7 linked regions of the Canis lupus familiaris genome follow. The protein of the gene in region 3 interacts with the protein of the main gene of each other region in a biochemical or structural test. Links are inferred from orthologs where the notes say so. Each region holds a gene or a part of one and is shown on either strand. Other genes may lie near its edges. The genes, in order: MAGI2, MAST2, RPS6KA1, ARHGEF12, ARHGEF11, GRID2IP and PARD3B.

Region 1 (4,009 bases), on a different chromosome or scaffold from region 3:
AAAACCCAAGAGATACAGGCACCATTATCTAACAGTATGGAAATTTTACTTTGCTTACTATGATCCATAAAATAAACCTATATGTTGTTTGGCAAGGAAAAGAATGATTTCAATAAAGGAATAGCATATATGAATCATCATATTTAGAAGAATATACAAGAAGATTATATTTTTCCACAAAAGTTAAGGGAAGCACTTTTTTTTTCTTTTTTGATCAATAATGACTCAGGACGTGAATCAGGTTCCCGGGGACTCTGAATATCATGACAAGCATCAATCATCAATGACCAAGTGAAGCCCAGAACTGAGAGTGAATACAGAAAGGAGAGAGATTTTTCCCTTAGAAAACTTTATATATTTATATATATATATATCACTTTATATTTGTATGTTCCGTGAGTTCTAAAAGCGATGATCTTTCAAATAAAATATTATATAGAAGTTGAGTGATCAGAGAGTACCTTGGATCAAATCACTGCAAGATTTAAATAACATCTAGTCCAGGCCCCATCCTACATTGGACTCACGGCATCTGGTCATGTTGGCCTCTTCATAAAGACCCCAAATGACAGGGAGCTCATGAATTCACAATATAGCCCAAGATTTTTGGCAAATTACGTTAGAAAGCTCATCTTATTCTTCATCTTTCTCTTTTTTTTTAGAAAGCTCATCTTTTTCATGTAAACAAAGACGTTTGTTTCATGCTTTACAATTTTCTATGAATTTATCTTACTTTTGCCCTGTGGAAGTTATCACCGGATAGTCAAAATTCCTTTTCTTATTTGATAGCCTTTCCATATATAATGATAGCTTTCATGCCCTCACTTTTCCAAGCCTTCCTATTGGATTTTATGGAATAGATCTATGATACCGATTGACCTGCCTCTCTTTCTTTTTTTGGACACAGTCTTGCTGCTGCTAGAGTCAGTTTGCCGGGGTCCTCCTCACCATGCGGTGCTCAGAAAGAAGACAACACTAAAATGTGGCCACCGCCGCCAATGACAGTGGGACCGTCACCTCATTAGGATGCTGTCATTAGTGGGATCTCACAGCGCACCGCCTGCCGCTGCCACCGACCCCTCCAAATGCTGAGCTGCTGCCAGGCAAGGCGCGGGCAGGAAGGACTCTACCCTGGGAACTACCGCCCTAAGACAGTATCATGGCATCAAATACGTTCACACGCATCCCTCTGGTTGAGCCTCAGCACGGTAGCAAGAGAGGAGCCTGCCTTCCTACCAAACTCCTGGATGCTCGGGGCGCGCAGCTGTGAGCTCCGGGGGCCTAGAGCCGGCGGCCGGCAGCCCCGGCAGCCCAGTGAGGACGCTGTCCTGTGCGGCAATTTGTACTTTAGAAATTTTGCCCGAGACTTCTCTTTCCCTCGCTGACTTTTTAAGCGGACGTCATGGAGCGGACGGTCCCCCAGGAGGGTGTCCTGGGGCGGTCGCCGGGTCGGGGCGGGCTGCGCGCAGGCCCGGGGGCGGGGGCGCGGGCGCGGGCGCGGGCGGGGGCGGCCGGACGGGGCGCACGTGCGGGCTCGGGGCGGGGGCCTCGCCGGGCCCGGGGCCGCCCTCCGCCGGGACCTACTTCCCCTTCGGCAGAGCCGAGCCCATCGGAGCCCATCCGAGCCCTGCAAGCTGCGGCGGCCGCGGCCCGGCACGGCTCCGGGGAGGCCCGGGGACCCAGGCCGGGCCGCCGGCCCCCGCCCCCCGCTCCTCTCCGGGGCGCCCGCCTTCTCGAGCCTTCTGCGGCCGCCGGCCCGGGAGCGCCCGTTAGTCAGGGCGCACGTGACGCGCGGTGCCCACATGATGCGCGGGGGGGCGGGGGGACACGGGCCGACCGGGAAAAGTTCGCCGAGAGCCGGGCGAGCCCCCGCGCGCCGCGTCCCTGCCCTGGCCGTCGCCCAGCCGCCCCGAGGGCGCCCGGGGCAGCTCCTGCGCCCGCCCCGAGGCTCCCGTGCACCGCGGGCCGAGCCCCGACGCGCAGCCAGGCGCCCCCCGAGCTCGCGGGCGCCGCCGGGGTCCCGCAGGCCGAGCACCTTGCACAGCGCGGCTGCCCGTGCGCCCCCGCGCCCCGGGGCGCCCCCGCCGGCCCCGCCGTCGCCCCTCCCGCCCCGGGGCGCCCCCCGCCGGCCCCGCCATCGCACCCCCACCGCCCCGGGAGCCTCCCCCCGCCGGCCCCGCCGTCGCCCCCCTCCCGCCCCGGGGCGCCCCCCGCCGGCCCCGCCGTCGCACCCCCACCGCCCCGGGAGCGCCCCCCGCCGGCCCCGCCGTCGCCCCCCTCCCGCCCCGGGGCGCCCCCCGCCGGCCCCGCCGTCGCCCCCTCCCCGCCCCGGGGCTCCCCCGCCGGCCCCGCCGTCGCCCCCTCCCCGCCCCGGGGCGCCCCCCGCCGGCCCCGCCGTCGCCCCCTCCCCGCCCCCCGCGCGCTCGGGCGGCCGCGCTCACCTTGCTTGACACACTTGAGGCGGAGGGGGTCCTTGCAGTGCTTGATGACGGCCAGCACGTCCCGGATGGTGAGCCCCGCCACGGGGGTCTCGTTCACCTCCAGCAGCAGCTCCTCCGACGCCAGCTTGCTGCCGCTCTCGTAGGCCACCTTGCCGGGCTTCACCTCCCCCAGGTAGGGGAACTGCCCGTTCTCGGCGCCCCCCTTCAGCTCGAAGCCCAGCTGGCCCTCCGGGTTCCTGCCAATGACACTCTCATGGACTTTGCTCGTCCAGTGGCTTTTCTTTTTCAAGCTTTTGGACATGGCAGTGGGGTGGGCGGCCTCGGCTCCCGAGGGGCTGCTGCGGGGCAGGGGGAGGCGGGCGGGGAGCCCGGGGAGCCGGGGCGCCGCGCGGCGAGGGATCAGACTTTGCCTTCCTGCCCCTCTGCCCGGCGCGTCCCCTCGTCTCGGGACGGAGCGTGGATGCTGCGGGGGGAGGAGGCGGGGACGGCGGGCCGGGCGGGGGGGCGGCTCGGCCGGGGCTGCTGTCCCTGGAATGACACTCGGGGCTGTGGCCCCGCAGCGGAGGAGCGCGGCGGCGGCGGCGGCGGCGGGCTGGGCGAGCGGGAGCCGCGCGGCGGGCGGGGGGCGGGGGCGGGGGGGGCGCGGGGCCGGGGCCGCTCCTGCGCGCGGCGGGGCGGGGGGGGGGGGGGGCCGGGGCCCGCGGCAGCCGCAGTGGCCGCGGCGAGGTCCGGGGCGCGTGTGCGTGTGCGCGCGAGTGTGAGTGAGTGTGCACTAGTGGGGCCGCGGGGGGGCTCGCCGGGCTCGCTCCCTCCCTCCGCAGCTTGACCCGGTAGTGAAGGCGGAGAGAGAGGCAGGCTGGGCCGCGGGCAGCCTACGGGAGGAGGCGGCGCGGGGAGGGGACCGGCCGCCGGGAGGCCGCGGGGAGGCCGCGGGGCTGCGCGGGCGCCCGGACGCCCCGACCCGCGAGGTGCCCCGGGGAGGGCCGCGCAGGCGGGCGGGGCGCGCCCGGGACGGGCTGGGCCGGCGTCGCCTCCGCCCCCCCCCCCCCCCCGCCGCACTCCTCGCCGGACTCCCGGGGCGGGGGTCGGGGCAGCGCATCCCGGGGTGGGGGGGGCGGGGGGGGGGGCTCGTGGGCTCGGGCCGCTGCCGCAGGAGGAGGCCCCCGCGGGTCGGCCCCGGGCACCAGGGGCTCTGCGCGAGCTCCGCACCGCCGGGGCCCCGGGCCCACCCGCTCCGGCCCCACCGGCCCCGGCCCCACCGCGTCTGCAGCCGGCGGAGAGGCGAGGACCAGGGCGCCAAGGTGATGCTCATTTTCACTCATCTTAAATAGGATGTTAGTGAGTTTTAAAATTCCAGGAACTGGTAAATGAATTTCATTTGCTTTATTTCAAAATGATACGTTTGAGAAAGAAAAGGAAAAAAAAGTTGCACGCCCACTCTTCTCTTTAGAGCAAAGCTTGAAAAGCACCGAGCAGTTCAGGTTTTTGATGTCTGGGATGAGGAGAGTGGGAGGCAAGTGCAGTTGAGAACGTGCGTGCAGTCCACCCAAACAGACCAGATTTGGATT
Region 2 (4,282 bases), on a different chromosome or scaffold from region 3:
TTCTTATAATGGCTTTTTGGAAGATGGGTTTGAAAAGAAAAGGAGTAGATGTAGGCGAACCAGTTTATAAAGTTTCTTAGTCAAATAGGTGAGAATAAGTAAGAGTTGAGCTGAGGTGGTGTCAGTGGGATGGAAAGAGGACACAGATTGGAAAGATAGTAAGGTTATAGAAGCAATGTTACTTGTTGATTAACTGGACATGGGAGCAGAAGGGGAGGAAAGAGTCTAGGATGACAACCAAATTTCTGGTTGAGGCAACTAGACGGATGGTGGTGAGGAACTGAAACTGGGAATACAGGAGCCAACTGGTGATAGGCTGTATATTTGGTTATGTGTGTTGGGTCTGGTGTCTGACAGACCTTGGTTTGAGTCTTGGCTTTGCACTTATGAACTATGTCATATTGAGCATGTTATGTAACTTGAGACTCAGTTTCCTCAATTATAAACTGGAAATAATATAACTTTTGTTTGTGTATGTATGAATAGAATGCACAGCCTGGTTTCCAGGAGGCACTCTATAATGCTGGCTATTATTACTTCCCAAAGAGGGTTTAGGGAAGAGGCCCAGGATAAACTGAGAGAACTGTGTTCAAGACAAAAGAGGAAAAATACAACGTTGTGGCAGCCCAGCTGAAGCCAGAAGGAGGAGGCCAGACAGGGCTGAGCTACAGCCACGTTGCTGTGAAGATGAGTCACTGGAAGTGCAGGCAGGGCTGCCCAGGCCACAGCTGGACTGGCTGTGGCCAGGCTGGACTGGGCTATAACATGACTTCATTGTCAGTGGGGAATCATGAGAATTGTTCCAGAAGCCTTTGTGTCCTCCTGTTCCTCCCAGAAGGAATCCATCATGTCTTCCTCGTCTATAGGACTTTCCATACCCTGTCTTACTTTCTGGAAGCAGCAGGAAACAGTAGAAAGGGGACAGAAAGCAAGAATTTGAGTCGTCTAGTTTGATCAGTGGTTTGCCGACTGACCTGGCGCGTGTCACTTTACCTCGGTCTTCTTGCTTTGTAAGACGAGAATGACCAGACCTGCATCCAAAGTGTGACGTGAAGACAGTTGGCGAGTGCTCCGTAAAACTGTCAATAAAGGACGGTGGGTGCTCCATCAATTAATTGTATATTTTGTCTTCTTGTTCCTGGTCCCTCTCCCGCTCGATCCTTGAAGACACTGATTCAATCCTAACTCCTTTTCAGATCCCTAGCGCTTAGCTTGGCGGGGTACACAATTTCATGAATGGATGAATGAAAGAATCAATGAACGCGCTCCGCCGCCGCAGCCGCGCCGGGAGCCCCGCCCCCTTCCGCTCTGCTCACCTCGCGGGGAGGCCACGGGCGGGTCTCTCGCGACCGTTCGCCGGCGCGTGCGCGGGAGGCGGCGCGCGGCCAGAGGCGGCGGGCGGGCTCCCCGTGCGCGCGCGCGGGGCGGGGAGGGCAGGGGCGGGGCCGGGCCAGAGGCAGGCGGGCGGGCCGGCTGGCTGCTGGCTGTGGAGCCGGCGGCTGTGGCGGCTGTGGCGGCGGCGGGTGGCCCGCCGAGCGTGTGCCGGGTGGGAGAGGACGAGGCGGCGGGGATGCTGCCTCCTCCCTAAGGAGCGCCGAGGACGTCGCGGCGCTTGAGGCCCCAGAAAGCGCGGAGGAGCTGCGAGCTGGGGTCGGTGGCTTCGGGCGCCCGCCCGGCCATGGTGGCCGCGGGCGGTGGTTGGCGCGGCAGCGCTGCGGCCCGGGGCCGTGCGGGGCCGGGACAGTCGCGGTGCTGACGCCCGCGGGGCCCAGCCGCGGATATGAAGCGGAGCCGCTGCCGCGACCGACCGCAGCCGCCGCCGTCGCCGGCCGGCCGCCGCGAGGATGGGGCTCAGCGGGCGGCGGAGCTGCCTCAGCCCCAGCCCTTGCCGCCGCGCCGGCGAGCGCCGCCCGGGAGGCAGCTGCTGGAGGAGCGGGCCGGGCCCTCGGGGCCCGAGGTCAAGGAGCAGGTAAGGCGGCCGGCCGGCGGCCGGGAGGGAGAGGATGGGGAGCGGGAGCCTGAATGGGAGCAGTGGGGGAGGGGGTCCTCCGGCGGGAAGACGGGCTAGGGCTTTGGAGGGGTGGGGACTATGTAGTTCGGCCGGAGGAAAGGAAGGTCTGGAGAGGCAGAAAAATGGGGAGTGGAGAAATGGAAGTCATGGCCTGGGGTTGAATGGAAGTGGGGGAACAAGGATTTGGAAGAAATGGTCCTGTGGGCGTCTGTAGTCAGGGATACTGGATGCGAAGAAGGGACGCTGGAATGTGGCCTGGGAGTAAATGAACTGCAAAGAATAGGCTCACTAGAGGGACACTGAGGAGTTGGCCCGAGGGGTAAATAGTGTATGTAAAGTAGGGAAAATCAATGTGATGTAGTAAATGTTCTTTACCAGAGGTTGTCTTGACTGTTATTAAAAACGGATGTCATTTCTAGGCATTCTTTGATTTGGCCATTATTATATAGTCTTGGAGGAGTGCGTTCAAATCTTCAAGATTCTTTTCCGTAACGATCTGTTTCACGAGAAAGCACTTTTAAAACACCTGCATATGTGCAATTCCAAATCCAGCGCCGCGAATAGAGAATTTACAGGGATAGGCTCTGTCTTCTGGGAGTTTACCACTGAAAACATCGTCTTAGGAAAACGGAGATAGAGAGCAGTGTGAACGTATTCGTGGAGTTTCTGAATGGACAGGATGTGTGTATAATTCATTAATCAAGCGTAGGTGTATTTAGAAATAGGGGATAAAGGTCAGTTGTATCAGGGAGGAGAAAGTAGCTGTAGAGGGTGCAATGAGAGGAGACTGTGTGGTCCTGACTGCATGGATTTTGCAAAAACATATTCTGTAGTAATGAACTCTATGACAGTTTTCCTTTTGTTCAGCCCTAGTAACTTCATCCTTGACTTTTTCAAGACCTTTAGTAGATTTGCCTCTTTTTCCATCAGTTAAATAAGTATTTTACATAGACATCATTCTTCATTGTTCAGTTTCAGTGATGCACATGCTGGCACTTGGATTTTTTCCTTTTGTTCTTTCACCTTTTATTCTACACCCAGCTCCGAGTAGACTGCCTCATTCCCTATCTCTGCCCTTGGTTTCAGGCCACTGAATGTTGTCCCTGGCTATAATTTACTCCCTCATTCTTGTTTTTTTTTTAACTTTTAAAGATTATTTATTTATTTATTTGACAGAGCGCGAGGGAGAGCGCGTGAGCACATGCAAGTAGGCAGAGTGGCAGGCTGAGGGAGAGGGAGAAGCAGACTCCTTACTGAGCAGGAAAGGAAGCCCACTCAGGATTGGATCCCAGAACCCTGGGATTATGACCTGAGCCTAAGGCAGATGCTTAACTGACTGAGCCACCTAGGCGCCCCCCTCATCCTTTTTAAAAATATTCTCTGCAGTACCTAATTGAAACTTTTAAGATGTTTAATCCTTTAATCCTCTCCTGACTTAGTTTACTTGATTCAGTTGACCTGCTTCACTGAAGAGTTCAAGGTTATTTGATTTTTCCCTTCTTCCCTACCTCACAATTATGTATTTATATAGCAAGCAAGCAGGCTCTCCACCCAGTGTGGGACTTGAACTTACGACCCTTAGGTCAGGAGTCACATGTTCTACTAACTAAGCCAGCCAGGTGACACTCTGTCTCAAAATTTTGTTCACTCATCCTTTGCTTAAATTCTAGAGAAAGAAGTATTCATCCTCCTCTCGGAGGCTATCCTTGTGCTTATGTGCTTGATTTCATCCCCTCTCATCTGATATAGGCCCTTGTTATGTGTCTTATTTTCTTTTTGTCCTATACCTCCGAAAAAAGCAAAATACGGTTCCCTGGATTGTGTAACTTACCTAAGTTACTTTGTTATCTCTTCTTTGCTTTATTAGCAACCTTCTTGGAAAATGAGTTTGTATTCACTGTCTCAGCTTACTTACCTGTATACATTTCTCATATTACAATTTGGCTTTTTTTTAAAAAAAGATTTTATTTATTTATTCATGAGAGACACAGTGAGAGAGAGGCAGAGACGGGGAGCCTGATGCAGGACTCGATCTCAGGACCTAGGGATCACAACCTGAGCCGAAGGCAGATGCCCAACCACTGAGCAACCCAGGCATCCTGGCTTTTTTTTTTTTTTTTTTTTAAGTTTGTTTATTTAAGTAACCTCTACACTCAACATGAGGCTCGAACCCATGATCCTGAGATCAAGAGTCCCATGCTCTTCCAACTGAGCCAACTAAGCACCCCCCCTTTTTTTTTTTAAGATTTTATCAGTTTATTCATGAGAGAT
Region 3 (4,281 bases):
GAGTCTCTCCATGTTCTGATATGGATTGATCTCTAAGATACATCATCTCGAACAAGGCAAGATGCAGAACAGTATATACAGGGTAGTACTTTTTGTAAGGAAATGGGGGTTGGAATTCAGAACATGTATCAGAATGGTTTGTATTACTAAAGAAACCTGGGGCACTTAACCAAGAAATCAATAAAAATGTTTACCTATGGGGGCATAGAGGGATGGGGTGGGAGGAAGACTTCTCAATATTTTTATTTTCAATCATGTAAACGTATTACCTATTCAAACACTAAAATAACATTTAAATTTTTTTAAAAGCGTGTTTCTCTTCTCAAGTTTGACTTATATTAATGGTCCCATTTTAATATCTGGCTCAAATTCTTTTATGTCAGTTAAAATCCTTTTGGTTAACACATGGGACATAATGTTAAAATATCTAAATTTCTGGGCAGATTTGGATTTCTTCCCATCCTCACAGCCCTGCCTAGGGCAACCTCGGAAGAATGGAGGTACAGAGGTGAAAGAACCCTCAGCTCCTGGGAATCAGAGTGGCATCAGAACCATGGCCTGATCCTCCTCCTCCATCCTGGGAGAAACTCTGAGGCTTTGCCAGGGTGTACGCTCTGTCCCAGAGTGGGTTCCTAGGTCGGGTCTGCGGGGCAAGCCTGAGTGGTCCCAAGTCCAAGCCACACTGGACATGTTCTTCACTGAGCCCTGGGACAAGAGGTCTCGTTGTCCCTCCAGCTCCAATCCGGGGCCCAATGGCAGTCAAGTGTCAGCTTACCTCTTTAGAGAGCCGGGTAAAGAGGTCTCCACCACGCAGGAAGTCCAGGATAAGATAGAGCTTTCCCTCCGTCTGGAAGGCTGGGGAGAGGGAAAAGGCAATGGTGGAGCCAGCTGGGCCCTGGGCCCTGCCCCTCTACCCTAAGCTCCCTTTGTCTGCTGGGGTAGGGGTGACCTAGGGGAAAGGTAGTAGCCCACAGGCAAGGGCAAAGGCTGGTAGGTCGGGTGGGAGTTCAAGTAGGGTCTGTGATCTCACCATAGTGCAGCTTCACCACAAATGGGTGGTTCACATCTGCTAGGATGTCTCTCTCCATCTTGGTCCGAACGCGGTCACGCACTGGCCAGAAGAGAAACGCAGTCACAGATAATCTAGCCCCTCAAAACAGTCATCCCCAAGCCCTGGCCAAGAAGGGCTCTCTCTTTCATGTGTCCCTCCCATCTCACGGCAGTGCCCAGAGTAGAGCCCTTGGCACCCTGCCCATCCCACTAGTCCCATCTCCTGTGCCCAGTTCGGCTCTGCTTGGGGAGGTGACCTTCACTCACCTTTCAGCGTTGCCTTCTTTAGTACCTTCATGGCATACAGGTGCCCACTATCAGGTCGGGTGATTTTCCGCACTAGGAAGACCTGAGAAGGCAATGGGAAAAAGCAGAGAAATTGGGGAGGGGACTAAGCCTATCAGCTCCTATCCTCTGGGTCCTAGGTTGACCTCTAATTTTCCAGAGTCCTAGGTTGACCTTCGGGCCTCCCTGGGTACCAGAGTGACCTCCTGCCCTCCCCTCAGACCCATCAACCCTTGCCCTCTGATCCTGAACCCCAAAGTGACCCCTAACCCCCACCTCTGACATGAGTTGCCCTCCCAGTTTGGGCTCAGGACTCACTTTGCCAAAGGATCCCTGGCCCAGAACCTTGAGCAGCTCAAAATGGGATGGGTCGGCCTTCTCAGAGCCAGCCTTGACATGGTGCGTGATGGAGATCTCCTTTAGGACGCCCTCATCCTGATGGAGGAACAGAGCTGGTGAGTATGGTTGTCCCATCCAGGTGAGCAGGGAATATGGTCCCCATCCTAGCCTACTCCTCCTGGAGGCAGGGCCCTGTTAGCCATACCAGATGGCCATACTGATGGGGCCAGCCTGCTGGTTCATCAATACCAAAAGGGCCTCAAGGGCCAGGGATGGTCAAACTACCAAGGTGCTGAGTCAGGGGGAGGCACTGCTCCTACTGCCCCTGCTGCTCTGACCTGGTGAGACCCAAAGGGATACCCAGGCACAGCCCAGGTCCTGCCTGTGGGACTCCCCTCCCCCTGCTGCAAAGGTGTTAGTTTTGCCACAATAGGAAGTAGTGTGTATTCTCATACCGGGGAGGTAGAGCCAGGCTTTTGTTCCGGGTCAGAATGGATGAGAGGATCCTTGGCCAGAAGGACAGTGCTCAGATGCACAGACACTCAAGAGTCACTAGAGACCACCCCCACCAACCCAGTAAGTGCCAGTCAGGGGTGGACAGGAGCTAAGGCCGAGACTCCATGATCCACTCTTTGAAACTTCCTTCTAGGAGTTTTCTAAAAATCCGTTGCTGGTCCTAGTTGTTCTAGGACCCTTCTGCCCTCCCTCCAATCTGCCGGGATTGCCCTGGAGCCCTGAAGTGCTTCCTCACTTCCCCAGGAAGCAAGTCTGGGCAGGGTCCAGTTGTCCAGTAGGGCCAGGCCTGGGCTAGGAGAGCCGGAAGCCAACTAAGGCCAAACTAGCTGCCCAGGCACCTGCTCCAAGGACCACAGCTGGGCCAGGACCACACATCTGGGCACACTCACCAAGTCCCGCCTGGGGCCAGAGCCAGGGCCAGGGGCAGGCAAAGAGGTCTGGCTGGTCCTGGGCCGCTGCTTCCTGGGCAGCCAGGGGAGCAGGGCCCAGAGCCGCAGGCGGGGCGGCTTGGGATCCTGCTCCATTCGCCCGGCAGGGCCAAGGCACCATGGCAGGAGCAGGCAGCGTCCGGGGCTGCCTCCGAGGTGGCCGGGCCCAAGGCGGATGTGCAGGGTGAGGGCGGGGGCTGGGCCCAGCTCAGCACCGCCAATCACTTAGGGCCTGTGGTTTCCCAGCTCCAGGCCTACAATCTTACCACGTTCCCTTCCTCTCTTTTGCCCCCCTCCCCGTTGCCTGAGTGCTGCCCTCCGGCCCTCCCCCTTCCCCCATCCTCCCTGTGGGCCTACAAAGGGAGAGCCCCATGCCACTCCAGCTGCTGAGGGGGAGACAGGTACCCAACAGGCAAAGACTGGCATCTAACATGCAGAGGCAGATAAAGAGGGACACCCAACAGATAGAGGCAGGCATCAACAGGTAAAGACAGACCAAGGTAGGCATCCAACAGGCAGAGGTGGGAGGGTACACATGCCCACCAGGCAAGGATGGATAGGGACACATACCCAGCAAAGGGAGGTAGGAAGAACACTTACCCAATGATCAGAGACAGATGGGGACATGTACCCACCGAAACAGAGGCAGGAGGGAACTCATACCTGACAGGTAGAGGTGCATGGGGCATATATCCAACAGGCAGAGACAGAAGGGGACGTGAACTCAACAGGCAGAGACAGATGGGGACCCAACAGGCAGAGGCAGATGGGGGTTTGCATCCAACAAGTGGAGACAGATGGGGACATGTACTCAACAGGCAGAGACAGAAGGGGACACCACCCAACAGGCACCCAACACGTGACATGTACCCAACAGGTGAAGACAGGCACTCATCAAGTGGCAAGAGACAGGAACCCGACAACAGAGGCAGGTGGGACACAGAAAGAGAAAGCCAGTCAGTAAGGCCCAAGTAGACTGACAGATACCCAGGCCAGTGCACAGAAAGCCAGGCCCGGAACTCAAGGGCAGAGCTCTGGGTTCTTGCTAGTCTTCTGGGAGGTGGGGTGGGGGAAGAGGTGAGGGGATATCACCTGCAAACATCCTGCATCTTAGAGAGCAGCCCAGTATTCATGGCAGACACACCTCTGAGGTTTCATCCCATGCCAGGGCCTGGAGAGGCCCCAGGACTAACACAGTGGGCTGAGAATGCAGTCTGATGGCTTTGACTCTGATCCAGGTTTCCCAAATCTGTTATCCCCATTTCAGATACAGGAAACCAAGGGCCAGAGGACCGTGACTCACCCAGCCTGAGAATGGACCAGTGACAGAGCCAGTGACACTCAAACCCTTCCCCTAGTTACTGCCTGGCATGGGGTCAGCAGGCCTCAAGTGCCAGGAAAGGGTGAGCAGGTAAGTCAGCGAGAGCCATGCCCTGCCCATCCAAGCCCATCCCCTCCCTCAGTACCGGGATCAGTCCAGGGACTTCCCATTCTAGGTCTAGGACCCGACAGACACGGCCCCATCTTCAGGGGACCTCAGAGAGCCACAAAAGCTACAGTCATAAGAAGCTACAGGCTCTTCAGGCCCCTGAGCATAACCCTGGGTGGGACATAGGGATTGAGGTGAGCCAAGGCCACACAGCAACCCTTGCCCACCCCGCCC
Region 4 (3,500 bases), on a different chromosome or scaffold from region 3:
TTACATGAGGCTTTTGTATTAAGGAACTGCTTAGGATTTTCTTTCTTGTGCTCTTTCAGTAGGGGGTTGCTTTTGCAAATTGTATTTGGTGGCTGGTAGACTAGACTTGTATCACAGAGAGCAGCTTATCAAAAAGCACGCTTAATACGCTTAGCCTTCACTTCCAGAGGATGAGATTTTTCTAGAGCTACCTATACTAAGGGCTGATTTTCTTACTAAATTATTAATATTTAGTAGGAGTGCCTGGGTGGCTCAGTTGGTTAAGTGTCCGACTCTCGATTTTCAGCTCAGGCCATGATCTCAGGGTCCCACATTGGGCTCCATGCTCAGCAGGGAGTATGCTTGGAATTCTCTCTCTCCCTCTACCCTTCCCTCCCTTAAATGAATGAATGAATGAATGAATGAATGAACGAACGAATGAATCTTTTGATAAAATAAATTATTAATATTTAGAGCAAGATCAAGTACTACTTGGACTTTTTCATGAGTACTGTTCCTTAGAACTTTGTTTGGAACTAGAGCCTGGCACTCACAGGCCTCTTACAGATAGATAAACTATGCATCATCCTCATCTAGCTATTCATAGAATAATTAGATGGGCTGCAAATCCAGTGGCTGAATGCTTGCAACTTCATTTTCATAAGCAATTATCATATATTTATTGTGAGACTTGGAAGGCAGTCCTCTGAATGTTTTTCAAGATACCTCTAATTTTTTAGGAAATTGTATGCAGCTTACTGTAACTTGATCTTTATTCCATGTTCAGCAGTTCGCAAATACCAATAATGATAGTGAAGGTAAATGGTATCTTTTATATAAAGAATTTATTGAAAAGAGACTCTATGGCATATCGTCTCAGAGCTTGGAAATAATTTGTGTGTAATTCTCTTTATTTTGGCAGAATTTGGATTTAACGAAAAGGAAGATGATTCATGAAGGGCCATTGGTCTGGAAGGTGAATCGAGATAAAACTATTGGTAGGTATCGTGTCTGTCAGTTTTACGGAGAGTGGAGAAATTAAAGTTCCTTTGGGCCAAAGAGAAGAAACAACCGTTCACAGATTTTGGCAACAGCAGTGAGCAGTGCTGCCCTGTGTTATATTTGCAGATCTGCTTATGGTATTTCTTTATAGGTGAAGTACATTAAATGTTCACTGAGGGGGAAAAGCAGAAAAATTTGTCATGATTCAGTCATGTCTCCATCATTCTTGTATTCTAATGAGCTCTCTAATAAGCTTTCTTTAAACCACTCCATTTCAAACTATCTATGCTGAGGAATCATGGTGGCTTTTTTTTAATTTCTTGTCAGTCACCGACTGACGCTTTGGTGCGATACAATATAAAAATGAATTATTAAAAAATGGAACTAAAAAAGACAATAGCAAGTCAATTTTTTAAATGTATTAGCTTTAACAGAAATAAATTTTCTCTGTCAAATTGTTACAAAGTTTATAAAACACATCTCAGTTTCTACACTAATCACCTTCTCTACATTTTGGTTTCCAGATCTATACACATTGCTGCTGGAAGACATTCTTGTATTGTTACAAAAGCAGGATGATAGACTGGTGTTAAGATGTCATAGTAAGATTCTGGCATCCACGGCTGACAGCAAACACACATTTAGCCCTGTCATTAAGTTGAATACAGTGTTGGTTCGACAAGTGGCAACAGGCAAGTATGTCCACAGAGTGACAGTAGCTTTCAGGTTCATCATAAAGTTGCATGAGATCCTTGGTATTGTTTAAACAGCCCAGCTGGTAGAGAGTTTCTGTTTCATTCTTAAACAAATGAAATGAAATTTGGTTACTACTTAAAGAGTTTCTACCCCCAAATTCTTTGGGGTGCCTAGATTCTCTGAGCAATTTTCTGCTCTTGAAAATTTCCTGCATACCGCTTTAATCTTTAGTCCATGTTCACATCATTGACAGACTACCACGGAAGATGGTGAATTGAGGGATAATCCCAATGAAAAGAGTTACATGAGAGTGGTATGCTTTTTGATTTGTGGTAAAAGAGCAAACAAAAACAGAGAGGTGGGTGTAGTTTGGGTTTTTTGAAATCAGTTTAAGTTAGCAAATTATACATTAACCGTAGTAACAGTGGGATCCCTTTTCAAACTTGTCAGTTCCATAGTGGCAAGATAAGCTGACGACCTCTTTTCTTCATCATTTACTAAATTTCATTAATTAACAATTTAGCAACAGGGCAATTCAAAATAAATGCAAAAATGTCATCGTGTTGAGTAATTCAGATGTATGTACACCTCCTTGTTTCTATGTGGAACCCGGGCTAGTTTTTAGGATCTTTGTTTTATTGGAGTATAACATAGACAATGTAACATATGATAAGTTACACAAATTTTAACTTTATAGCTTGATGAATTTTTACAAAGTGAGCACATTAACCTTTACCCAGATTAAGATGCAGAATAAACCAGGACCCGAGAAGTATCCTTCACGGCTTCTGTAGGTCATATCCATGTTGTGAGAGTAATTTTTGTCTTGTTTCTTCCAGATAACAAAGCTTTATTTGTCATCTCCATGTCAGACAATGGAGCCCAGATTTATGAACTGGTGGCACAGACTGTTTCTGAAAAGACTGTGTATGTATTAGATACAGCTACCTTGCTCTAATAGTTTTTGTTATAGATATATAGAATATAACATTCTATAAACTTGGTTTTTGTAATACTTCGGGAACCAAAAACTATATTGAAAAAACCACTTCCTCTATATTTTTTAAGAGATACTGTCTAAGAACGTGGTCCTCTCAAGATTGATGTCCCTTGTTTTAGCGCTATGCTATTGAAAGTATCTTTTCTAAAGAACAATTCTCAGAAGCATCAAGCAAAGGTTTTTAATGCGTGCTGTATCCATAACATTGTTTGCTTAGGTTTTTCTTGAAGGTCCAGTGTTTTTTATCATCTCTACCTAATGTTGCCAAAATAAAGACACTCTCTGGTGGAAATAGAGTTTTTTTGTTGGATTGGCTTGGTTTGGTTTCTGGTTTGTTTTTGTTATTATTTCTTTCTGAGTGTATATTTAAAGGGCATTTTTTTTTCCTTTCCCTTTTGGATTTTGGATCCTTTTCACACTTCCTGCAGCTGGCAAGACCTAATCTGTCGGATGGCTGCATCAGTGAAGGAACAGTCCGCAAAGCCAATCCCATTGCCACAGTCACCACCTTGCGAGTGAGTGTGCATTTGCGTTGTAGTAGGACTGACTCTGTGTTTTGATCAGGAAAGGAACGGATGATCCTTACCTTTCACTGCAGTGATGTTTGGGCATCTCTTGAAGCTGAAAGATTGTTTTCTTTCTTGTACAGAGGAGACAACGATGAAGAAGCAGCTCCAAAGTTAAAAGTGGAACATCATAGCATTTCAGTCCCTGGTTTGCAGAGTCCAGGTAAACTGATCCATTAGGTTTACCTGGAAGAATGTAGTCTATACATTACTTATTAAAATGCAAAGAAACTTTAAGTCTTTTGGTTTATGCAGTT
Region 5 (3,500 bases), on a different chromosome or scaffold from region 3:
TCACTGTGGATCTCTATGAGCTCGGGCAGGTTGGGGAAGAGCCGGGCCAGCTCCTCCCGAGGCATAAGGTTCTCCTTCTTCATCCGCTGGTAGAAGATAAGGTCCAGTACCCGGAGCGTGCGCAGATGGGAGGCCTCTGTCACAAATAGCTCTGAGCAGAGTGGTCACAGAGTGGGAGCAAGACAAAAAAAAAAAAAAAAAAAAGAGGTCAGCAGGTATCCAAAGTGACGACCGCTTCACTTCTGAGGCCACCGAGCACTGGTGTCAGATGGTATGGCAATGTCCCCAATCCCAAGGGCAGGAATGGTGACCCAGCCTGGACCTGTCCCTGGGTGCTGCCCGACTCACTGCCCACCCATCAGAGGCACGTGGCCTCACCGTTGATGACCTCCTGCCGGTCGATCTCCCTCTGGCTCAGGCCGGCCACCACGTCCTTGCCCACCGTGTGCTGCCAGTTCTGGGTGTCAGGCTCGGGCTCTAGGTCAGACAGCTGACCCAAGTCATCCTCCAGGAGGTGAGGGAGGAGGGCGTCAGTGCAGAAGCCCAGGCTGGGGGACTCAATGCTCCTGGGGGAGAAGGCGCAGCTTCACGAGGAGGAGGGACTCACACGAGGGTTCTGTCCCTCCGTTTCCTGTGTACTGCGCCGTTTGTCCTGAGCCCGCGGGAAACCAGTGGCCATGAGGAGGAGACGCACACCCACCCAGTCACTCAGGGACGGGAGCGTGGCTGGGCTGTCACTCACCTGCGGCCCATTTTGGGGGTGAAGGGAGGGGTTGGGTTCTCCAGAGACCTGTGGAGAGAGGTCAGTTCTCAGTGCCGTCGCACCCACCCCGCTGGGCCAAGCCCAGCCCCTGACTGCCCCAGCCCTGCCCACCTGGTGGAGAGGCTGGAGGCAGAGGAGGAGGCGGACTGATGGAGGCGGGCCGCCTCTGCAGCTGCATCCATGTCCACGTCGCTGCGAGAGCGGGGCACGTTCTCTGCCTTCCGAGACCGCTTCATCTCCTCCCGACCCTTCAAGCTCTCGGAACGGCCCAAGCGAATCTCTGAGCGGGAGCTGGGGAAGTAGAAGAAGACACCCTGGGGCCTCACGTCCCCGAAAGCTTTTATCGGCTGCCCTGACTCGGGGTGCCTGTGGCCTCCTGCAGGGCCCAAACTTCTCAGTGACAACTCCCACAGCTGTCCTACCATCTCCTGCCTCTCCTCCTCCCTGTGACCCACCAGGAAGGTGAAATCTGGGATCAACAGATCAGATGCCAAAGACTCCAAACACTCCAGGAAAGCTTTGGACACCAGAGGCCCTTACCAGGGACTACCAGGTCCCTGGCTCTGCTCTGGGCCGTGTGGTGGCCAGTCCCTCTTGCCTCTGCTGGAGCAGGTCAGCTCCCACCATGGACTCTGCTAGAGGCAGAGCTCTCCTTTTATAGGATTTTCTCCAGGGAGCTATAGGTGTTACCCTCACACACCCATCCAGGCCTCCTCACAGGCCTGGCAGAGTGTCTACCTGCTGCCAGGCTCTTGCCCTTCCAAGCTGTGGTGTAGATTCTCCCATTCTTAACTTGTAGTATACCTCCTAGCTTCCACTCCCTTCCTGGGGGCAGGCTGGCTCGGGAGGGCCTGTCTACAGACTGGCAAGAACCTGCCTGTGGCCTGCCATGTTTGGCCATCAAGTGTCTCTGGGACTTGAGGTGCCGATGGCTGAGTGTTGCTCCTTTCTGCATCCTGCAGTGCATGAGGCCTGTGATAGCTGGCATCTCTGAGCCCTGGCTGCCCCAGGATGGTGCCTCCCTGCACGGCCCTGCTGGGTTGGTTCTTGCTGATACTATCACTGATCTACATCCTGCCCTGCATCTAGGACCACAGGCGGCCTGGAGAGCATGCAGGGTGCTTAAAAGCACAGCAGGGTTGCAGCGAAGGAGCCAAGCATCTCAGTCTGCATTTATAACGGTTCTCTGAACTGCGAAGGACTCACATGGAGCTGCCCCCCTGGGGTCCTGAGGGTTAGAAGCCACGCTGCCAGCTGATCCCCTTAGAATACCCTGAGGTCTGCTAGAATGCCTCCAACTGAGCCTGCTAACAGCACTTTCACCAGTGCCCCACAGCGGGCCACCTGAGCACTGGGACAAGCCACCTAGCGAGACTCTTGGAGCCGCAGAGCTGAGTGCCTCCCTTCCCAAACCCCTAAGTGAGTAACACTCCTCCCCATGAGTGGGGCACACACCCACCTCTGGCCCCTAGTCCCTAAAATACCACTTTCTGGAACTAAGGTGTGCCTTCTATCTGCTGGCCTCTGCCCCCTCTGTGCTGCTGAGATTGCCAGTGAGCCGGCCATGGGCCAGGCCAAAGGCTGCCACTGACAGGGGATTGGGAGTCTATTGAGTGAGTGTCTTAGGGTACAGTTATAACCTAGCAACTTTAAGACCACAAGTTTGCAAAAGGCCTCAAGTTATCCTCGAAATACTGTTATTCTGTCTGTATAACTTCATTTGACACATCTTTAACTCAGGTTTCTATGTTTAATTCATTCACTAATATCAGAGCTCAAGCTCTCAGCTCAGGACAAATTTAGCTTTCCTCTTCCCTTAAATTTTTGTCAGTTCTCCCTACAGCAGTCTGCCCACACGGCCGAAGCTTACAGAGGCTTACTGCAACAAGAGGAACCCCGTGTATGCACAGAACGGCAGACTCATGGTGTGACGATGGTTTCACAGGTAAAATGGTTTGACTACCCAGGCCGCTACCTGGAGGCCGGGAACACCCCTGCGCTGTGGATCAGGCTTGGTTGCACGCGCGTGTTATTTCTGCACATGCAGGACCACATGTACTACGTACAGCTCGAGGGTAACTGAGGGAATGCATACGGACCTTTCTGACCAGGGGTGGTTTTTGCTAAGTGCTGGCTAGAGGATTTGAAACAGGACATGTCTGCTGTCACACCACAGTCAAGAGTAAGTCCAATGCCAGAAGGGGTCTCATTAGAACCTGGCCGAGATGGAGGCATGCGAGATGCCACAGTGTGCAGCCCCCTTCTTGTTTTCGAGAGGGGAAGAGCGGTTTGCTTTGAGGCTGCAGAACCCAGTCTCTAGCTCTCCTCCTCGTGTCCACAACCATCTCTGTGTGGCCTCCCTATCTCCCAGGATCTCCCCTGGCCACCCCGCCCCAGTCTTCTCCAGCTTGTCACCTAGGGTGTCTGGAGTAGCTGCTCTATTACACCATCTAGCTCATTCTTGGTTCTTGGGACAGAGGCTGCGGAGTAGCCCGGGGATCCAAAGGAAATGTTAAGGGGAAGCAGTCCCTGGGCTGGGAGGTCAGGGGCCCAGCTCTGCCTTTTGCTGGCCTGACCACCAATACAGCACATCTCTTCCTAAAGATCTCCAGGCGGGAAGGTGGTGGGAAGAGTTGTGAGTTCTGCAGTGGGAACCTTATGGTGCAGTGGAGTCGATGAAGCAGCTGGGATTAACCCAGGCTCCCCTCCTTGGGAAGGTGGCTAGTGCCTCCCCCTC
Region 6 (4,076 bases), on a different chromosome or scaffold from region 3:
CACAGCTTGCCCAGCAGACCCTGCGACACCACCTCGTCGAAGCGTGCTCGGTGCTTCTTGGGGATGAAGATCCTGCCGGCGAGGACCGCTGAGTCGGGGCGCGTCCCCAGACCGCGCCCTAAAAGTCTCCTGTCTTGGGCGCCGACCTAGGCTCTCCCCCCGCCCCTCCCGAGGGGTAACAAGGGAACCAGCAGCCGGCGCCTCATTCTCCCCCGCGGTGCTGGCACTTGCGCCCCAACCGGCGGGGGCGGGGGGGTGGGCACACAAGGACCGCGGTGCCTGGCTCTCCACCTCGGAAAAGTCACAATCGGACCGCCCCCATTACTCAGGGCCCCCAAATCCCATCCGTGGACCTTTTCCTCCTCCTGTCTCTGCCTTCCCACTTCTGGCCTTTCTCCTCATTTCATGCTCTTGCACCTGCCAGGCCAAACCCCAGCAGGGATCCCCCACCACCCATCTTCTTCTTACCTGATGCCCGGCAAGTCTGCTGGAGGAAATTGAAACCACAGCCCGGCCACGGTCAGACTTCCTCCAGACACTCATCACACTCCCAGCCGTCCTGCTTGCTTCTCTGCCCAACCCTTTCTATAGCTGCCTCTTCAGAAATTGCCAGAACCGCCACATCCAGCCCTACCTCTTACACTCTTGCCCTGGCTGCAGCCCTTCGCCCAGGGTCCTCTCTCTGCTTCCTAGCTACACTGGGCTCAACCTTCAACGCCCAGCGCTGGCCCTCTGTGAGTTTGATCTTACATGCTTCAGTAAGACTCTGTTGTCTGTGCCAGCCAGGCACTTGGGTTCAGAGCTGAAGGCTCTGTGGTTCCTCCTCTCAGAGAGGGCACCTGGATGTGATGGGAGGCAGTGGGGAGGCTTGGATGGACCCTGTGCAGAGCGTACACCCTGGGATGATTCCCTGGTACCTGTGAGTGTCCTCTGCAAGGCTGGAAGTTCCCTGAGGGCTAGAGCTGTAGCTGGGCTGAGAGCCATAGTGACCAGTCAGAGTTTGGCACGGGGAGGGACTCAGTGACTCAGGAAACAAGGGGGGGGGGGGGTCCGCCAGCAGCATAAACGTACCTCTCCAAGTAATGGCAGAAGTTAACATCCTAGTGGACTCTCTGTGGCAGAGGATCAGGGGGCTCAGAGGAGATCTGTTAACTTGCCAGGGCTACACAGCTGGCCCTGGGCACAGCTTGGACAGAAGGCCAGCCTCTGAGCCTCAGCACTGTGGCAGGACTCTGCTGAGGGCCTCTGAAGTTCTGGTTGCTAGTGAGGCCTCCCTGACTGCATCCCAACGTTCCCTTCCATGCTCTTTGTACCAGGAGCCAGTGCCAAGGGCATGGTGGGGAGGAGGAAGGAAGATGGGAACAATGGCTCTGCAGCCAACTGAAATACAACTCCTCTGAGGTTGTTTGGAGTCCTCCACTTAGTTCTCCTGACTTCTATGGGTAGGATTTTAATAAGACCAGGCAGGCAGTATAAGCTGCCTGCTAGGGGGGGAAGGAATGTGGATCCTCCAGGAGGCGGGTGCATCAAGGCTGCCCCTCAGTGACCTCTGTTCTGGGTCTGAATGTTCTAGGAGGCCAAAATGAAAGACCTACTCAACTCCTCCAGGAGCATTCTGGCCTGATGCTCATCCTCACCCATTCACAGTGATTCCCAAAAATCTAGAGCCTAGGCCTCATTCCCCAGATGGTTACTCAAGGTCCCTGGAACCTGACACCTCCATCTGCCTGGCCTGCACATTACCCACACCCTCCCAGATCTACCATGTGCCTCATGCCCAGTCAAAGATGGATGACAAGCTGGAGATTGTCCACTTCATGCTTTGGGCTCTAGCCTCAGGCTCCAGAAGACCCTAGGTCCAACCTGGGCAGGGGCCAGATGACCATCCCAGCCCTACTCTCCAGCAGCAATTCAAAAAGGCCTTGCCCCTCACCTCCCCCCACCCCGGTGGTAACCATGGTGAGTCACCAAGTGCACAGGTGGGAGATGATTGGTAGCCTTTTCCCTGCTTTGCGTCCTTGGGATTAAGCCAAAGCGCAAGGCTGCCTCATGAGCCAGATGCCCTTCCTGGCTTGTGTTGGCCCTCCATGCAGTCACGAGTCTGGGCTAGCCCTGGGCCTGCTCTGAATCCACTCCCCCCCCCCCCACCCCAGGACAGCCAGGCACAATGGGGCCTCATGGACCACTGTGGCACATCACTGCTCCTCTGACCCTGACAGTACAGCTGCCCCAGGATGTCCAGGTCCCTGCTATGCCAACAGGCTTCTTGGAGACCACAGGGCTCTTCCCTGGCCACACAATGTTGTCAGCCAGCTCCGTTCCCTCTGCCTGGGGGGTCAGGTGCAAATCCGTGTCCAGAGTCTTCCTAGAGGCTGCGCTAGGGTCCTCTCTCTCTCCACCACATCCCCAGTTCCCTAGACCTGCCCAATCGTAGAAAGGAAAGAGGGCTTTCCGGTCCCGACCCTCGGTGCCCTCCGACCCCCATCCCGACCCCCAGGGGCGCGTGGAGGTTCCAGGCATCCAACGCGGGGAGCTCGCCCCCCTTGCGCCGGGTGAGTGTCCACCTCAGTACCCCAGCCCCACCCCTTCTCAGGCCGCCTGAGGCGGGTCCGCCGCGCCTAGGGCGCACAGTTCCCGGGGGCGCGGGGCGCGGGGCGCGGGGGGGAACTACCGAAAGTGCCGAGAGAAGCCCTGGTCCTTCCCCATCTGGAGCCGGCGACGGCGGCGTGGCAGGTGCCGGCAGGTATGGGTGGCCAAGCCCGCGAGCAGAGCGAGGGCGCCGCGACTCCGCCAGCCTCTGCCGGGCGAGCGCACTCGGCCCCTCCCGAGCCTGCCCGGCCCGCGGCCCCGCGCCCGCCCCCTACGGGTGGCCCCGCCCCGCCCCGCCCCCACGGGGGACCCTCCGGCTAGCTCCCGGGGAGCTGGGGGGCGGTTCAGCGCGGCCAACGCCGCTTCCTCTCGGCCGCCCCCAGGTGTCTCGCCTCCAACCTCTCGGGCCGCCGCGCCCAGGTCCCCGGCACCGTGGCGAGTCCCTGGCACCTGGCTGCGGCGAGACTGAACCCCACAGTTCGGAAGAAGCCCCGACTTTCTTTGTAGAGCCTGCGAAGGCTTTCCGGAGGGTGTGGCCTTTGCGCTAGGGAGCTGGTCCGCGAGGGGAAGCCCTCCTCACCTACCCAGGGCAAAGCGCCAATCAAGATGCGGCTAGAGAGGGAGGCCTTGAATACTATCGCTGAACTCTGAGAACACTGAGGAGCCCGGGGAGGGTCTCTGGATTTAAGGAGAGGAGGAGGGACCCCAGGGGTTTTGGTGCACTCGGGGAGTGGGTGAGGCTGAGAGGGGAACAGGGAAGGGTGTGGAGTGGGGCAAGTGGCTAGCTTCTAAGAAACACAGAGGAAAGGGAATGTATGAGATCTGATGAGTGAGTGAAAATGAGGAAGGAGAGTCAGGTTGGGGTGTAGGGGAGGACAGAGGGTCTCCTCCTGGGAGAGAGGATGGGAGGACCAGCTAAAGGTAAAAGAGGGTGATAACAAGAAAGGGAGTCTGGACCTTTGGCTCTGGGCCTGCTGCTGGTGGAAGTCAGAGCAGGTGCTCACTGCAGGGAAGCTACTGCATTGTCATTTCTCGGTGGTCCTGTCCCGCTTGCGGGTGGAAGGGCACATAGATACCTGGGAACCAGCCCAGGACATCCTGAGGAGGGGCTCCTTGGGGGACATTAACACAAGGCTCTCTCCTCACCAGGCACTGGCCACTACCCAGACAGACTGGAGCTGCAGAGGCAGAAAACCCTAGGACTCTCCCTGTGTCTCAGTCGCTAGAAGGAAGGAACATCTTACATGGTTCTGCCTACAGGTTCCTGCAGCGGGTCACAGAGAGGCACCTACAGGCCTGATGGTCTGACTGGTACTGGGTTCGAACCACGCTGCCCGACACCTCAGCCCCCACGTTCCTGGCCCCAGTGAGGCCACCACCTTCCTGTGACCAATCAGGGCTGCTTTTCTCCCCAGCAGCATTAGGAAGTCAGAGCCAGCACTCATGCCACATCCTTCCAGGCCTTGTCCTCAGCCCTGCCAGGGAGA
Region 7 (4,107 bases), on a different chromosome or scaffold from region 3:
TAGGCCTATACTGTATAAGATATAATCAAGAGGAACCTGTGCAGGTCACAAGTCTCTGCAAGAAACAAAATGGCCATCTTTAGGTTGATAGGTTACTACAGCAGCTTGTAAATGGGATGGCCTTTGTAAAACAAACTAAAAAATAAATAAGATGGATAAATTCCAATGCATAATAAACTACCGGGCTGTGCACAGCGACTCTGAGTAAGGATCCAGAGACTCGGTTCCTGGGTTCAATTCTACCACATGTCACTCATATTCCTGTCTCTTTCTGCCCCCATCTGTAAAAAGAAACTATCATTACCTGCTTCACGAGGCCATTTAACTTACGTAAAGGTCCTACAACACTGTCTGCAGAGAGTAAGCACAACTCATGTTATCGTTATGTTTTTATTACTGAGTGTGGGGCTAAAAACCTTGCTGTCCAGGCGAGCAAGCTTTTTAAATCTCTTTCACTGATTTAAAGAAAGTGAACTGACGACAAGTTGTTTTTCAAATTGAATTTTGACATTTCTGGTCTTTTCTCATTATTTTCTATATTCAATGAATGAAAGCATGGAATTTGACAGATTATTTCTTGACATTTTAGTTCCATTAGGAATACCATTTAATATTAGTTAAGCCTTGTTATGATCACAATACTATTTAAATGAAACTATGGGAGAGAGAGATTTGGGGAAGAAAAAATATCACTTGCCACTTATTAAATTGAGATTTTAAAAGCCAAAGAAGGGAGGGAGGATTTATAAACTGCAGGTGACCTTTAAATGTCACATTCACTAACATAGAAATGTAAACATAGAAAAATGTAATATCTGGTAATAACAGTAAACTGATCAATACAATTACATTACAGGTTCTGTGATATTATAAATTATGCTTTCGGTACAGGATATCAATAGCTTTTTAACACTTTTTAAGATCAAATTATAACACACTGAATTTCATCTAGTCCTCTGTTATTTATAAGTATGTAGCTTACTTCTATTATTGGACAGCTCCATGTTCTAAGCTTCTAAATACACAAGATGTTAGAGTATAAATTATTTGTACCATTGAACTAGTAAAAAAGTAAACTGATCTCATTAAGATGATCCTTCAATGACATGTAATAATTTGTCTAGAATAATGTTATTATTAACCTTAGCTTACTTCCAAAAGTTAGGGAAACACAGTTCCAAGAACTAGATACTTGTGCAAATCTCAGTTCCTAACTGAATTACACAATACCAGACAGCATACACTATTGTAACAGTGGGGGGGGGGGGGGGGGGAATGGGGTACTCATGCAGTGTTACAGGCCATTTCTACAGTTCTCAAAGCAGGAGAACAAATACTAAGAGAGTCACTGATCTCAAATGCAAGAGTTTATGACTTGTCATTTTTGAAGAGGATTTGGGGTAGACTGTTCTATTTGAAGATTCAAAAAAGAAAAAGGTGCTTTTCAATGCCTTCATTTAAAGATTCCAATCAAGAAGACACAGAATCCCAGTATGATACCCAAACACCTATCATGAACTCCAGTGTCTAGCTAAGTCTTCTGAAGACGCACTGCACACCTAAAAGTAATAGTCACTTAACTTTTACTTGTTTCTGATTTCAGGGACAGAGCTGGGAACCATCTACTCAGTAGTCACGCAGGGCCTGACACAGCACGCTCGCTAGTAAATACTTAATAGAACTAAAGATACTCAAAACGTAGACGGGTTAGTGGTGGCAAACAGCATCCTTCCACCGAAGTTCCTGTTCCAGTCACTGAGGGCGAACAGCTCCCAAGAGTTCAATCCCAAAGGCCCCAACAGTTGTAACTTCCAAGGGTCTGCGACTGGCACCAACCAACCTTGTAACTCCGAGGGACAGAAGTGGAGCGGGCCTTCGCCCTGGTCAAAAATCACACCTGGAGGGGGATCCCCGGGTGGCTCAGCGGTTGAGCTCCTGCCTTGGGCCCAGGGCGTGATCCTGGAGTCCCGGGATTGAGTCCCGCATGGGGCTCCCGGGATTGAGTCCCGCATGGGGCTCCCTGCATGGACCCTGCTTCTCCCTCTGCCTGTGTCTCTGCCCCCCCCCCACTCTGTGTGTCTCTCATGAATAAATAAATAAAATATTTAAAAAAGAAATCACACCTGGAGGGGGATCCCCTGGTGGCTCAGCGGTTGAGCCCCTGCCTTGGGCCCAGGGCGTGATCCTGGAGACTCAGGATCGAGTCCCGCATGGGGCTGTCTGCATGGAGCCTGCTTCTCCCTCTGCCTCTCTCTGTCTCTCTCTCTGTATGTCTCTCATAAATAAATAAAATCTTAAAAAAAAAAAAATCACAGCTGGAGCAAGCAGCACCTGCAAACACTCGCCTGAGAGAAGCGCTCTCTGGAACACCTTCCAAAGCAGCGCTTCTCGAACTTCACTCCTCATTCCAAGCACCGGGGAGCTTGTTTCGCCCCAGATTCAGAGGCAGGGGGCGTGGATGGGGCGCCGGGTCGAGCATCCGCAGCGAGGCCCCCCAGCGACCGCCCTGCGGCCTTTGCTGCCGCCACCCTGAGAGGCAAGGCCCTCCCCACCCGCCCAAAGACCTCCTCCAGGTCACCGGCGTTGCCGCACAGGTAGCGAAGTTGCGCGCACAGGTAGCGGCCGACGCCGTCCCGGGCGGGGCCCCCCGGCAGGTGCCTCGCCCCCCGCCCGCGCTCACCTGCTCCCGGGTCTTCAGGTACCGCTGCAGCGCCTGCTGCGTGAGCTCCCGGACGCGCAGCTGGCCCTCCTTGCAGGGCACCACGATGCCCGTCCTGCCGAAGCACACAGTCACCTTCATGCTGGGACAGGTGTGCGCCCCCGGGCACAGCGCCGACCGCGGGGGCTCCGGGCCGCGCCCCCTCCGCCCGCGGCTGACGGCGAGCGGGGACCCGGGGGGGGGGCTCGTCCCGGGCAGCGGGTGCCCCGGGGGGGGGGGGCAGGCACCGCGGCCCCTCCCCCTCCTCCCCCTCCTCCTCCTCCGCGGGCTCCGGCTCCCGCTCGGCCCGGCCCGGCGACCCGCGGCTCCGAGCTGCGGGCCGGGCTGTGGCCGTGCCCCGGGCGTGCCCCGGTCGTGCCCGGTCGTGCCCCGGGCGTGCCCCGGCCCTGCCCCGGCCCTGCCCCGGCGGCGGCGGCCCCAGGCCCCAGGCCCCAGGCCCCAGGCCCCGGGCTGCAGCGGGCGGCGGCGGCGGCGGCGCGCGCGGGGCCGGAGTTGGGAGGAAACTTTTGCGCCGGATCAACTCGGCGGCGGCGCGAGCGCGCTGGGCCCCCGCGGCCCCGGGGCTGGCCTGAGCCCGCTCTTAAAGGGGCCGCGGCGCTCCCGGGCCTGCAGCCCCCGGGAGCCTCGGCCCCTCCTCCCTCGAGCGCTGCCCCGGCCCGGGCCCTCCCGCACAGCCGCCGAGCCCTGGGGACCTGTAACGGGACCTGAGAGCCACCCGCCCGGGAACTGAAACCGGATCTCCTGAAGCACCCTGGAGGGTGCTCCCTCCTCGAGCTGGGAGGCTGCGGAGCTGCACCGACCGGGGGGGGGGGGGGGGGGGGGGGAGGACTGGAGCGAGACGCGAGCAGAGTCCGGAGCAGGTGCCTGGCGCCACGCCCACCCCCGCCCCCCTCCCCCTCCCCCTCCCCCTCCCCCTCCCGGGGAGTGGCGGCTTACAGGTGCTGAGCTGCAGGTTGGCCCGAGGGCCTGCCAGGAGCCTTGTCTGCGGCAGAACACCGACTCTGTCCTCTGGCAAAGCCCAAGGGTTCTGGGGGATAAACGTGGTGCTGCAGCCAACCCTTCATATCACAGAGGAGGAAACTCTTGCCCCAAAGGTCACATCCCAGACCCAGAAATGATGCATATGCTTCCATGTATCCTTCTGAAATGGGCCTCCTGTTGTGCATCTGGCTACAAAGACCATTTTAAACACGCTGAGGCTCAGGTGAGTGTTCACCACCAATTAAAATAGGTGTATCTGAAAAAAAAAAAAAAAACTCAACAAAAAAATATTTGTGTCATTCTCAGCTCGCGTAACAACGAGCTCCTTTGAGCCTGACAACGACCCTGGGAGGTAAATGTGTTTCCCATTTTGTGCATGAAGAATGTGCTAAGGGAGGTTAAGGAAC

The links.
Region 1: the proteins of RPS6KA1 (region 3) and MAGI2 interact in a test that uses a peptide from one of them, tested with the Homo sapiens proteins (2 studies listed by BioGRID and IntAct, with this or other methods). The link is inferred for Canis lupus familiaris from reciprocal best matches to the Homo sapiens genes RPS6KA1 and MAGI2.
Region 2: the proteins of RPS6KA1 (region 3) and MAST2 interact in a test that uses a peptide from one of them, tested with the Homo sapiens proteins (2 studies listed by BioGRID and IntAct, with this or other methods). The link is inferred for Canis lupus familiaris from reciprocal best matches to the Homo sapiens genes RPS6KA1 and MAST2.
Region 4: the proteins of RPS6KA1 (region 3) and ARHGEF12 interact in a test that uses a peptide from one of them, tested with the Homo sapiens proteins (2 studies listed by BioGRID and IntAct, with this or other methods). The link is inferred for Canis lupus familiaris from reciprocal best matches to the Homo sapiens genes RPS6KA1 and ARHGEF12.
Region 5: the proteins of RPS6KA1 (region 3) and ARHGEF11 interact in a test that uses a peptide from one of them, tested with the Homo sapiens proteins (2 studies listed by BioGRID and IntAct). The link is inferred for Canis lupus familiaris from reciprocal best matches to the Homo sapiens genes RPS6KA1 and ARHGEF11.
Region 6: the proteins of RPS6KA1 (region 3) and GRID2IP interact in a test that uses a peptide from one of them, tested with the Homo sapiens proteins (2 studies listed by BioGRID and IntAct, with this or other methods). The link is inferred for Canis lupus familiaris from reciprocal best matches to the Homo sapiens genes RPS6KA1 and GRID2IP.
Region 7: the proteins of RPS6KA1 (region 3) and PARD3B interact in a test that uses a peptide from one of them, tested with the Homo sapiens proteins (2 studies listed by BioGRID and IntAct, with this or other methods). The link is inferred for Canis lupus familiaris from reciprocal best matches to the Homo sapiens genes RPS6KA1 and PARD3B.

The regions. Positions count from the first base shown.
Region 1 is NC_049239.1:19,579,186-19,583,194, forward strand, and holds the start of MAGI2 (membrane-associated guanylate kinase, WW and PDZ domain-containing protein 2), read right to left. Parts: upstream 2,801-4,009; 5' UTR 2,743-2,800; coding exon 2,442-2,742; intron 1-2,441. UniProt on the Homo sapiens protein: Seems to act as a scaffold molecule at synaptic junctions by assembling neurotransmitter receptors and cell adhesion proteins. Plays a role in nerve growth factor (NGF)-induced recruitment of RAPGEF2 to late endosomes and neurite outgrowth.
Region 2 is NC_049236.1:14,658,085-14,662,366, reverse strand, and holds the start of MAST2 (microtubule-associated serine/threonine-protein kinase 2), read left to right. Parts: upstream 1-1,482; 5' UTR 1,483-1,780; coding exon 1,781-1,969; intron 1,970-4,282. UniProt on the Homo sapiens protein: Appears to link the dystrophin/utrophin network with microtubule filaments via the syntrophins. Phosphorylation of DMD or UTRN may modulate their affinities for associated proteins. Functions in a multi-protein complex in spermatid maturation.
Region 3 is NC_049223.1:72,914,096-72,918,376, forward strand, and holds the start of RPS6KA1 (ribosomal protein S6 kinase alpha-1), read right to left. Parts: upstream 2,801-4,281; 5' UTR 2,715-2,800; coding exon 2,580-2,714; exon of another isoform or gene 1,812-2,579; intron 1,791-1,811; exon of another isoform or gene 1,771-1,790; coding exon 1,654-1,770; exon of another isoform or gene 1,400-1,653; coding exon 1,318-1,399; exon of another isoform or gene 1,112-1,317; coding exon 1,031-1,111; exon of another isoform or gene 856-1,030; coding exon 776-855; exon of another isoform or gene 1-775. UniProt on the Homo sapiens protein: Serine/threonine-protein kinase that acts downstream of ERK (MAPK1/ERK2 and MAPK3/ERK1) signaling and mediates mitogenic and stress-induced activation of the transcription factors CREB1, ETV1/ER81 and NR4A1/NUR77, regulates translation through RPS6 and EIF4B phosphorylation, and mediates cellular proliferation, survival, and differentiation by modulating mTOR signaling and repressing pro-apoptotic function of BAD and DAPK1.
Region 4 is NC_049226.1:13,554,684-13,558,183, reverse strand, and holds part of ARHGEF12 (rho guanine nucleotide exchange factor 12), read left to right. Parts: intron 1-901; coding exon 902-977; intron 978-1,505; coding exon 1,506-1,673; intron 1,674-2,516; coding exon 2,517-2,604; intron 2,605-3,105; coding exon 3,106-3,192; intron 3,193-3,326; coding exon 3,327-3,406; intron 3,407-3,500. UniProt on the Homo sapiens protein: May play a role in the regulation of RhoA GTPase by guanine nucleotide-binding alpha-12 (GNA12) and alpha-13 (GNA13). Acts as guanine nucleotide exchange factor (GEF) for RhoA GTPase and may act as GTPase-activating protein (GAP) for GNA12 and GNA13.
Region 5 is NC_049228.1:41,065,902-41,069,401, reverse strand, and holds part of ARHGEF11 (rho guanine nucleotide exchange factor 11), read right to left. Parts: intron 1,055-3,500; coding exon 875-1,054; intron 791-874; coding exon 743-790; intron 567-742; coding exon 379-566; intron 152-378; coding exon 5-151; intron 1-4. UniProt on the Homo sapiens protein: May play a role in the regulation of RhoA GTPase by guanine nucleotide-binding alpha-12 (GNA12) and alpha-13 (GNA13). Acts as guanine nucleotide exchange factor (GEF) for RhoA GTPase and may act as GTPase-activating protein (GAP) for GNA12 and GNA13.
Region 6 is NC_049227.1:11,937,458-11,941,533, forward strand, and holds the start of GRID2IP (delphilin), read right to left. Parts: upstream 2,801-4,076; 5' UTR 2,707-2,800; coding exon 2,672-2,706; intron 73-2,671; coding exon 1-72.
Region 7 is NC_049258.1:13,109,824-13,113,930, reverse strand, and holds the start of PARD3B (partitioning defective 3 homolog B), read right to left. Parts: upstream 2,801-4,107; coding exon 2,681-2,800; exon of another isoform or gene 2,614-2,680; intron 1-2,613. UniProt on the Homo sapiens protein: Putative adapter protein involved in asymmetrical cell division and cell polarization processes. May play a role in the formation of epithelial tight junctions.